3 linked regions of the Oryctolagus cuniculus genome follow. The protein of the gene in region 1 purifies or fractionates together with the protein of each later gene. This does not show direct contact. Links are inferred from orthologs where the notes say so. Each region holds a gene or a part of one and is shown in the gene's direction. Other genes may lie near its edges.

The links.
Region 2: the proteins of PTPRO (region 1) and SDF2L1 purify together in Homo sapiens (affinity purification with mass spectrometry; 3 studies listed by BioGRID and IntAct, with this or other methods). This does not show direct contact. The link is inferred for Oryctolagus cuniculus from reciprocal best matches to the Homo sapiens genes PTPRO and SDF2L1.
Region 3: the proteins of PTPRO (region 1) and DNAJB11 purify together in Homo sapiens (affinity purification with mass spectrometry; 3 studies listed by BioGRID and IntAct, with this or other methods). This does not show direct contact. The link is inferred for Oryctolagus cuniculus from reciprocal best matches to the Homo sapiens genes PTPRO and DNAJB11.

Annotation. Positions count from the first base shown.
Region 1 is NC_091440.1:113,146,850-113,151,083, forward strand, and holds the start of PTPRO (receptor-type tyrosine-protein phosphatase O isoform 1 precursor), read left to right. Parts: upstream 1-1,403; 5' UTR 1,404-1,581; coding exon 1,582-1,656; intron 1,657-4,234.
Region 2 is NC_091452.1:29,148,122-29,151,542, reverse strand, and holds SDF2L1 (stromal cell-derived factor 2-like protein 1), read left to right. Parts: upstream 1-1,305; 5' UTR 1,306-1,372; coding exon 1,373-1,568; intron 1,569-1,722; coding exon 1,723-1,919; intron 1,920-2,447; coding exon 2,448-2,729; 3' UTR 2,730-2,818; downstream 2,819-3,421.
Region 3 is NC_091435.1:96,300,389-96,304,036, forward strand, and holds part of DNAJB11 (dnaJ homolog subfamily B member 11), read left to right. Parts: intron 1-2,018; coding exon 2,019-2,161; intron 2,162-2,650; coding exon 2,651-2,733; intron 2,734-3,339; coding exon 3,340-3,397; intron 3,398-3,648. UniProt on the Homo sapiens protein: As a co-chaperone for HSPA5 it is required for proper folding, trafficking or degradation of proteins.

The DNA of each region.
Region 1 (4,234 bases):
AGGAATCCAATTACTTGAGCCATCACTGCTTCTCCCCTTGGGTCTACATTAACAGGAAGCTGGAGCCAGGAGCCAGAGCTGGGAATTGAACCCAGATACTCTTTTATGAGAGGTAGGTGTCTTAAATGCTAAACATTCGATCCAGCCCTGAGTCTGTGAGACTGGGACAAACTGGTGCCTGAACGCCTGCATTCATGACCAAGGTGACCTTTCCTGTCTTCTGGTGCCCACGCATGTCTCAAGGATAAATCAGAAGTTCCATTACCAGCAGGACACAGCAAGGATAATTTACATGGTAATAAGAAATGATTTATACCTGAACAGTGTACCCATAGTTTATTTTGACAGACTTATCTTTGAAAAAAAAAAACACACACACACACATTCAACAAAAGGGACAGATAAGTATACTGGAGACACACAGCTTGGAACTCATTGCTGTGGCTCTACAAAGTCTCAGGTTAATTATTCACAGATAATTCAGAATTGTTAAAAATGTATATCTTACAAATATATGTCAAACGTGGTTTTCCGGTTCTATATTCCTTTTCAGGTAATCTGACAAACTCGTATCAAAGATAGTCTTTGCAACATAGGAGAACTCCTAATTTCAAATAGAAAACATACATAATTGTGCTGTTTCTTTCTAGCTGACTATGGGACGTAGAAAGTGAGTGTTTAAACAGGATGAAGAGAATGGAAGGGGTGGAAGAGAGGAGGGCAGTGGGGGAAACACTCCCCATCACACACACACACACACACGCACACTGGCATTCACACAAACGCATTCACACTCACATACTCATACACATGTTCACACACACATTCTCACACTCACGTACGCTCATATATTCTCACTCTCATGCTCCCACACACTCACACACTCTTGCACGTGCATTCACACACACACACACACACACACACACACCGCACACTCCATCTCAACAGTCATAGTCATCCCAACGTCACCGGTCCTTTATAATAACTACAGCTGAGAGTAGACACAGGAAAATCGGTAGGGAACTGAAATCTGGACCCCAGGATACTCCAGAGGAGTCAAGGCCACCCGCTCAACTCCGGAGCCCAGAGCCTGTGGGAAGGGCTGAGGAGAAGCCTGGAGGGGGCTGCCCAGCCTTCCAGGGCGGCGGGCAGACCCTTGTGGGAGGCTCGCCAGGCAGCCGGCACTCCCCAAGCCCCCGGCCCCGCGGGGAAGCATCCCTGCAGCCGGCGGGCCGCGGCGCGAGGCACACAGAGCCCCCGCCTCTCCTGCGCGCGGACCCCGCGCCTCCTCCGGCAGCCGCGGTGGCGGCGGCGGCAGAGCCTCGCCCACTCCAATCCCCACCCTCTCTCCAAGCTTAGCCATTAAAGCGCAGCGGCGCCCCGCGCGTTGCTGGAGGACCCCGGGCGCGGAGGAGGACAGGGAGACGGCGCAGGGGGACTGAAAAGGCAGCATGCGACCGCCGGGAGCAGCTTCGGCGCCCACCGTCTGAGGCTGCAGCCCCAGTTCGCCTTTGTGAGCGGCCGCCTGGGAAGCCCGCCAGTCCCGCGGTGCCCCACTCCCGGGTTCCCGTTCGCTCTGCGATGGGGCACCTGCCCACCAGGGCGCGCGGCCGCCGCCGCCTGCTGCCTCTGCTCTGGCTCTTTGTGCTGCTCAAGGTAGGGGAGCGCCCCAACCCCCAGCCTCGTGTCCGGTCTCAGCCGCGCTCGGGCGCCCAGACTCTGCCGTGCGGGAGCGACGCGCCCGGGGCGCGATGGCCGCGCAGCTGGGCGCGCGCTTTGTTGTCCCTCGGTGTGAGGGTTCCAGGGATCTGGAGGGAAGGGTTGGGTAGAAGAACAAGGGAAGTTTGCTCCCTCTGGCTTTTTTCGCCTAAGCTGAAACCCTCATCAAAGGTGGGCTTGGTGGGTAGAGCTTTTTCTAGCAAAATGAGGTCACTTTCCCTTGTGTCCCCTACTGCGACCCACCGCTGCCAGTTAACCTCCCGCCCTCCCCCACCGAAGTGTGCTGCTGCTTTGTCTTAATTTACCTAACGCTGGATTCACACTCGGGCGCTGAGCCCCCAGCCACTGTCGGACCGCGGGGGTGGGTGGAGGGCAGGATTTTCTGTAACGAGTTGGAGTGTCAGGTGGAGCCTGGAGTGGACTCCTCTCCACAAGTCTCATCTCCACCCTGAGAATTCCTTTTAAAAAGTCTCTGGACTTTCTTCACTATATTTACAGAGGATGCTACCTATAACTGTAGTGGTGGAGAAATATAGAATTCACTTTTCCCCATCTTCTTTGGAATGCGCTTCCTTGGGGTTTTACTTTGAGACAAATGACATTTGCTTTTTGAAATTCCTAGTTTGGCGGCCATGAGTTTCTTGAAGACTTTTAGCTAGATGTTTTGCAAGGTGGCGTGGAGTTTTGAAGTGATCCTCTATCCCTTGGGTCCTCAGTGGATCTACTTTAGGTCTCCTCAGTCCATCTTTTCTCTTCTCCGCAAATAAAACCGGGGAACGTCGACAGGTGACGGGGAGCTATCCTTTCAGCACCACACTGATACCTACACTAGAATGGGTGAAACGCTACGGGTGCAAACGTTTCCTTAGCAAAGAATCACCTCTTGCTTACGTAGCATCCATGATGAATGTTTGACCAAGGATACAGTGGAACAGCACCAGTGGCTTAAGAACAGCATTAATTTTAAGTAATCCACATTTTCATTTATCTTAATAGAAAATGGAAAGAAATAATATCAGGGAGAAACAGGAACAGAGTTCATAAGTAAAGTTCTAAATTTGACTTAGTATCCTTTACATTTTCTTAAGATTTTAATGGTTGTTTTATTTTAAAATCTGTTAAGTAATGAGCTTAGCCATGTATTTTCACTGCAGGGAGTTGTTTTTACTGCACACCACAATGTGTAAGGCCTATTGAGTTCTCCACTATTCTTGCTCTGGTTTTCAAATTTTGTCACAGCTGAATGTATCTATGCAATGCTTCTTATGGACCTAAGTGTGAAATGAATTCACTGCATATTCTACTGCGTATCTAGTACTTACATATATGACATCTGCCTTGAACCTAACCACTGACACAACTTTAGGCTTTGACTTGAATTCTTCATAACGGATGCGAATTCCAAAAGTGAGAGAATGATTAGTTTGATCATGGAAGTAGTTTTCTGTAATTAAAATGTGGCATAATGTTGACTCAAAATTCACTATAGGGTTGAGAAAATGTAGTTAGTGGTGGTGTAGTGGCAATAATAGTTCACCCTGTTTCACGCACTAGGTATATTCCTGAACATTTGTCTGTAAATGACAATTATGGTAATTGCATCACTTAGTATTTACATTGACAAAGCTTGCCACTTAAAGCAATTTTGTAAGGAACATCATTAATTTTCATTTTATGTAAATGCAATATTTGTATCACCTGAATAAAAATATGCAAGAAGAAGGAAGAGAATATATCTATATATCTATTTCTATATCTGTATCTGTAACTATATAATCTCATGTGTGTGTATATGACTCTACTATGGGCCAGCTTTCCAGGGATTTCACATGTTATTTCATTTAATCCTATTTTGTTGCAGTTGACAAGAGATGTTCAAAGTAGTGTGTTGGGACAGTGGTCTGATGTCTTACATTTAGGTGATAGGATATTATATGGTGCATTGGGCACATGGTATAATCTATTATAATTTGAAAATGCCTTTGAATTTAAGGTCCTAATTAAGTGCCAGGAAAATATATATGACTATGCAGGCAGTTACAGGAATCTAAAAACAAAATTCAATTATTAAATACCAAATTTCCAACAGGATCTCAATGATAAAAATCTAAAAAACTCCATGTGTGATGAGTCAGGATTAAATAATCCCTTTCTCTTCCCCCCCAAAAAACTTAGTTTTCCCTATGGCCAATACATTTTTGTTGTCCTCTGTGAGTATCCTCCATATAAAAGTGAAAATCTCTAAGAATTATAAGTCAGAGAAATTTAACTATGAGGCAGGATTTATAGTTTTACATTTTACACAACTCATGAACAAGTAACTGGATACAAATGGTGGGATATGGGAAAAGTTTGAGTCTGTATGAATGGCTATAGCAAATTTCATTAAATGCAACTGGTCATGGAAATGTTTGTGCACTCCTGGTTTAGTGATGAACACATTTAATCAAACATGTCAGAGTGTCTAAATAATCTATTGTACATTGTGATAATATCTGCATAAGTGATGTTGTAT
Region 2 (3,421 bases), on another chromosome or scaffold:
ACCCACATGGCAGGCCTGAGTTCCAGGCTCCTGGCTTCAGCACGGCCCAGCTCTAGTCATTGTAGAGAGAGAGAACCAGCAGATGAAAGATCTATCTCTGTCTTCCTCTCTTTCTCCATAACTTTGCCTTTCAAATTTTTTTTGAGAAGTTTTTTTTTTTTTTTGAGAGAGAGAGATCGATCTTCTGGTCTTCCATCCAACTGTTTCACTCCCCAAATGGCTACAATGGCCAGGGCTGGGCTGGGCTGCAGCCAGGAGCTTCTTCCGAGTCTTCCACATGGGTGGCAGGGGCCCAAGCAATTGGGCCATCTTCTACTGCTTCCCCGGGTGCATTTGGGGAGTGAGCCAGCGGATGGAAGCTCTCTCTCAAATGGCTGCAACAGCCGAAGCTGGGCTAACCCGAAGCCGGGAGCCTGGAGCTTCCTTCAGGTCTCTCCCGTGGGTGGCAGGAACCCCGATCACTTGGGCCATCTTCTGCTGTTTTCGCAGGGGCACCAGCAGGAAGTGAAGTAGCTGGAACTGAGCCCACATGGGAAGCCAGCGTCCCAGGCGGCAGCTTAACCCACTGCGCCACAACGCCAGCCCCTGGCTGATTTATTTAAAACGAACTTTTCTCCTTGCTTTGCAAGGGGCCCTTGTGCCTTGCCTAGTCAGTGTTTGGGGTGGTGTAGCCCAGAGCCAGATCCCCTGAGGCCCCCAGCCTGGAACGAACTCCATCAACCTAAGGATGCTCCTGGAAATGGATAAGCAAACGGGGTATAAGCTCTGCTCCCTTTAAGCCGACGCGCGGTCACCCAGGCTCGCTTGTCACTCCCCGTGGCCTGTGCTGTCCCTTAGGCAGCTCTGGGGCCCCCTGGTGAGAGCCTGCACCATAGCTCCGTGCTGCCCTCTGCTGTCCCAGGGGCCAAATGTCACAGTGGCCAGGGAACTTCAGAAAGCCCTGGTGCCTTGGGGATCTGTGTGCTCCGGGACCCCGCAACCCCAAGACCCTGCAGCCGCCGGCGCACAGTCTGAGCGCAGAGACCCTAGCGTCCGAGATCCAGGAACACGCAGGGGCCTGAACCGGGTGCACCGGGGGAATGGGCGGCAGCGGGACTCGGCGCTCTTATCCACACGCGTTTCCCATTGGCGAGTGCTCGGAAGCGTGGACCAATCAAAAGCGTCCTCGTGTCTCCAGCCCCCTCCCAGACGCCTCGCTCCCAAGCCGAAGGGGCGGGTCCCCGCCCCTGCGACCCAATGGCGTCGCAGAGGGAGAGCCGCGCAGGCCGGCGATTGGCCGTTGTGGGGCGGGGCGCTGTCAGAGCCGGATTGGCCCCGCGGCGAGGACGGAAGCGGCCGGTGGGACCCGAGCGCCTCAAGCCCGGCCGCGGTGATGTGGAGCGCGGGCCGCGGCGGCGGCGGCGGCGCTGCGGGGCCGGTGCTGCTGGGGCTGCTGCTGGCCCTTTTAGGGCCGGCCGGCGTGGCTGCCAAGACCGGCGCGGGGTTCGTGACGTGCGGGTCGGTGCTGAAGCTCTTCAACACGCACCACAGGGTGCGGCTGCACTCGCACGACATCAAATACGGATCCGGTGCGCGGGGCTGGCGGGGGGCCGGGGGGCGTGTGGGCCGTTGTGTGTGTGTGGGGGGGAGGTGGGGTCCCGGGCGATCGGGGGCCGACCAGGGGCCCCGAGAGCTCCGCGCCTGACGAGAGACGCCGCGGCGGGCCCCGGTGTCGCTCCTCAGGCAGCGGCCAGCAGTCGGTGACCGGCGTGGACGCTTCGGACGACGCCAACAGCTACTGGCGGATCCGCGGCGGCGCGGACGACGGGTGCCCGCGCGGGGCCCCGGTGCGCTGCGGGCAGGCGGTGCGGCTCACGCACGTGCTCACCGGCAAGAACCTGCACACGCACCACTTCCCGTCGCCGCTGTCCAACAACCAGGTGGGTGCGCCCCCTTTTCCCTGACCCCCACCTGCCGGGCTCTGAGCTTCAGCTTCTGCGAAACGGGAATTTCGATTCAAGGGGGCGGGGGTGGAAAAAACGCGCGCCGAGCGCCCCCTCTCGGGACTTAGCGGTACTGCAGGGGGTCCCGCCTCCGGCGGGGGGGGGGGCGCTCCCGGGAGGGGGCGGTCTGCACGTCCGGGGTCGCTCCTCTTGTAGGCGCTGGTGGGAGCCCACAAGCAGAGGGAGCAGGAGCTCCAGGCTCGGGCTGGCCAGGAGGAGCAGGCAGCAGAGGCGGAGAGAGAGGGAGCTGGTGCCCAGGCTGGAAGACGGTGGCATCTGGGGGGTGGTGCTCCAGGAAGGTGCTTAGGGGTTAAGACTGATAAAGACCCTGCGGGATTGGGGAGAGGGGTTCAGCCTTGGACGGGGGTGGGGAGCACGTGAAGAAGCCAGCCTTAGCTCCCTGGGTGCGAGTGCCCCTGCCGGCCGAGTGGCCCTTGGCGGTGACCACTGTGCACACACACGCAGGAGGTGAGCGCTTTTGGGGAGGACGGCGAGGGGGACGACCTGGACCTGTGGACGGTGCGCTGCTCCGGGCAGCACTGGGAGCGCGAGGCCGCGGTGCGTTTCCAGCACGTGGGGACCTCCGTGTTCCTGTCGGTCACCGGCGAGCAGTACGGGAACCCGATCCGGGGCCAGCACGAGGTGCACGGCATGGCCAGCGCCAACACGCACAACACCTGGAAGGCCATGGAGGGCGTCTTCATCAAGCCGGGGGCGGAACCCGCTGGGGCTCACGACGAACTCTGAGTGCGGTGGGCGGCCAGGGAGGGCCAGAGACTTTGGGGTGTGGAGGGAGTTCCCCAAGTGCCTTTGTGATTAAAGAATGCCCGTCCGTGGTTGTGTTCGGCCCTGAGCCTGGGGGTGACCAGGAGGCTCCAGCAAGCACTGGGATTTCTTCCTCGATGCGGAGAGGCCAACCTGGCCTGGCTGAATGTATCCACAGCATCACCCGCCCTTTCTTCCTCCCTCCTTTCCTTCACCCTCCTCCCTCTCCCGCGCCTTCTCTTTCTTTCCTTGGTGAGACGGGAGAGAGAGAAGTCTCCCATCCCGCCAGTTCACTCCCCAAAGTGGCTGCAACAGCTGAGACTGGGCCAGGCTCCTGGCACTCCATCTGGGTCTCCCACATGGGTGGCAGGGGCCCAGGTACCACAGCCAGCCCCTGAGTGTGGAGCAGAAGCAGAATTAGATCCCAAACACTCTGATATGGGATGCGGGCATCCCACACAGCATCTTTTTTTTTTTTTTTCTTGAAGATTTATAGAGAGCAGAGACAGAGACCATCCATCTGCTGGTTCACTGCCACCACCCCCCCCCAAATGGCCACAACAGCCAGGACTGGGCCAGGCTGAAGCCAGGACCCAGGAATTCCTTCCAGGTCTCCCACACAGGTGCACTCGGGCCATCTTCTGCTATTTTCCCAGGTGCACCAGCACGGAGCT
Region 3 (3,648 bases), on another chromosome or scaffold:
TAGGTCTTCTCCACACATTGAAGAGGTTGTTTAGGTAGGAGAAACAGTGGAGCCTAATTAACTTCCACCTTCCTTTCCTAACCTGCTGTTCTTCAGTTTTTGTTAATACACAAAATACAAAAATAGTTCAGAAAGTTGTGGAGGGGTGGATGTTTGGCCTAGTGGTTAAGACACTCATGTCCCATAAAGCAGTACCTGAGTTGGAGCCCCAGCTCTTTGCCTAATTCCAGCTTCTTCCTGATGCAGACTCTGGGAGGCAGCAGTGATGGCTCAGGTAGTTCCTGCCACCCACATGAAAGGCCGCTCCTGTCTTCAGCTTGGCCCAGTTCTGGCCACTGTGGGGAGTGAACCAGTGGATGGGACCTCTCTCTTCTGTCTCTATCACCATCTTCCTCCCTTTCTCTAGCTCTTTGTCTCTCTGTCTGCTTCTCAAAGAAAAAAAATTAAAAGTTCCTGAAAAATTGTATGAAAAGATAAGTGTATTCTGGTATAAAATATTTTAAAGCCATCCATCCATACAAAAGGTCTTAAAAAGTTCATGGAGAATTTATATTATGAAAAAAGCTATGCTTGAATTTAAAAATTTTTTTTCAGCAAAAAACTTAACTTTTAGTTCCATTTTTCCCTGGACTTTTTAAAATACCCATGTATATTACTTTTTACAGTGAATGCCCCCCCCCCCTTTGTAATATAATCATGGGAAAAATGTGAATGCCCTTACTATTTAAAAATGTTTTAAGAAACGATTACCTTAAGAGATAGGGTATGATTAGAAGCATGGACTTTGCAAGTAGTCTGCTTTGTTTGGAACTGTGGTCCTGCCATGTATTAGTTATGTGACCTTGGACCTGCCACCTGGTCTGTAAAATGGAGATAACAGTACCTACCTCACAAGGTTGCCGTGAAGATTAGGTGAATATGTAAAAGTTTTTAGAGCATTGCTTGGTATGTAATAAGTGCTGTAAAGTATTTGCTCTAATTCCTATCATTGTTAGGCTTTATTCTGCTGACCCGGGCTTTCATACACTGGTAATCCTTAAGGGACTGCTCCAAGCATTGGTGTCATGCTGCTGCGTGAGTATGCGTGCACCTCGTGATTAGGTGTTTGACTAATTAAACAGGCAAAAACAGGGATGTACTTCTTCACATATATATCTTTTTTTAAAAAAATTATTATTTGAAAGGCAGAGTTATAGAGAGGCAGAGAGAGAGAAAGATGTCTTCCATCTGCTGGTTTACCCCCTAAATGGCTGCAATGGCTGGAGTTGGGCCCATCCGAGCCAGGAGCCAGGAGCTTCTGGGTCTCCCACGCAGGTGCAGGGGCCCAAGGGCTTGGGCCATCTTCTACTGCTTTCCCAGGCCATATCAGAGAGCTGGATGGGAAATGGAGCAGCCGGGACTCAAACTGGTGCCCATATGGGATTCCAACCCTGCAGGCGGCAGCTTTATCCACTATGCCACAGCATTAGCCCCTATATTAATTTCACACACCTCGAGAGATCAGAGTGTTTGATTGCAGTCAGCTACAAAGAGATGGCAGCTATGTGTTTGCTATGTGTTAAGGTATCTGAATGGAGATAGCACTGGAAAACAGGCCAGGGTCGGGTTACCTAGAACAAGGAGCTGTCTTCATTGGGATCAGACGGCAGCCGCACACCAGCCCTGAAGGCTGTGGTTGTTCTTCAGGGGTTGTGCTTTACAAGGCCTCGATTTCAGCAGATGTAATTCTGTAACTACCGCAGTCGGGCTCACAAGTGCTGACATTATAAACCTTACTCTGGGTCTCTTCTTCCCTACTCCGCTCTCTCTTTACCTCTCAAACTTCAGAATTTGAGTCATTTAAATATGTGTTTGCCTCATTCCTGTTTGTGCTCCCCAGGGAGTCCTGTGAGCTCTTGGTCTCTCTGAGGGATGGCTTGTCTGGGAAGGGGCAGCTCCAGGTCCAGCCAGTGGCCAGAGCCCTGGTTGGCTGAGGTCCCCAAAGACAGTGAAGCTGATGTTGTTTATGCACTTCTTAGGTAGTTAGAAACAAACCTGTGGCAAGGCAGGCTCCCGGCAAACGGAAGTGCAACTGTCGGCAAGAGATGCGGACCACCCAGCTGGGCCCAGGGCGCTTCCAGATGACCCAGGAGGTGGTCTGCGATGAGTGCCCTAACGTCAAGTAAGTGAAGCATCTTCTTGGTTCCGCCAAGAAACACTCGAGTAATCGCTTTTGTCTAATGAGGCGTCAGTGGTCCATCCCCAGCTCTTCCTCCCTCCCCTTACCATGTTCTACCGAAGGATAGAGCAGGAATGGACATTTTAACTTTTTCCAGAAGTGTTTCTTCAGAATATGCGTATCTTTAATGTTTCTGAAACAGTAAGCAGTGCTGTCTATGTCTGAGTAGACTTACCAAGTGCTGAGGTTTCATTTTCTTCCTGCTTGCATAGCAGAGCAGTCTTATGTGTTTGTGTACTATATAGTAGTTCTGCCCTAAGTTTGGACATTTAGAAGGTGTAAGTGGATTTCAGAGGTCTTTGCAGAGGAGAGGTACACTGTAGTCTTCCAAGAAAAAGTCCTGATAACATAGATAACACTTTAATTATCTGTATCTTGGGTTTTCATTTGTATCTTCATTTTGTTTTTCTTCTTAAATTCTCTTTGTCTTAGACTAGTGAATGAAGAACGAACTCTGGAAGTAGAAATAGAACCTGGAGTGAGAGATGGCATGGAGTACCCCTTTATTGGAGAAGGTGGGATATTGATACTGATGTTTTATGATCATAACTTTCTGCTCTCCACTTACGAATATTTGTCTCACCCCATATCCTAATGGCCTCGTAGTGAATGCATATAAAATTCACCACACATGGAGAATCTTTTCTGACCATCACGGTTAGTCACCTGAGGCGGTGTCATTACTATTTGTCCTTCAAATATCATGCCCAAAAGTTACTATCAGGTGGCCTCAATTTCACCAGAATTTAAAGTGTCCAGACCTTTATGGATTAATTTTAACTTGACAGTGAAAGAAGATTCGCTGCCAGACTGTACCTTTGGGCTCAAATTTAAAACTCTAAAAGGATAAAAGCTTTCAGACTTCAGGTTCAGGGCATCAATGAATCATTCTTTGTTTGAGAAATAGGTCAAGTTATTTATTACCATGCCTGAGGCACAAAGTGATCTTATCTTCACTAGTAATCTGAAACGCTGTAACCAGGCAGAGACACTTCCTTCACAGATAAACTTGACAGAATCAATGCCAAGGTGGTGGCTTAAAAGAATTCTCTCAGCTGCCAAATAGATTTGTGGTATTCGACTTGTGTGACTTACGGTATGCTGTCATCTGTTCTGACTAGGCGAGCCTCATGTGGACGGGGAGCCTGGAGACTTACGGTTCCGAATCAAGGTTGTCAAGTAAGTGACCTAGTTCCAGAGGCTTCTCTAGCCCCTGCTTTCCGCAGGCATCAGAGCATCCAGTGTTCTTCTCTGTTCCGTGCCCTGAACTAGTCTTTGTAACTCTTGAACAGTACTGAAAATGTGGGGTTGGACCCCAGGATTGAGCCCCCTTTATTATTTACTTAGGACTTACAAGTCCAAAAGATGTCTTAAGGAAAAAAATTGATAGAACAAGTAAGGACTTGTAAAAGAGAAGCAAACAAGAATAA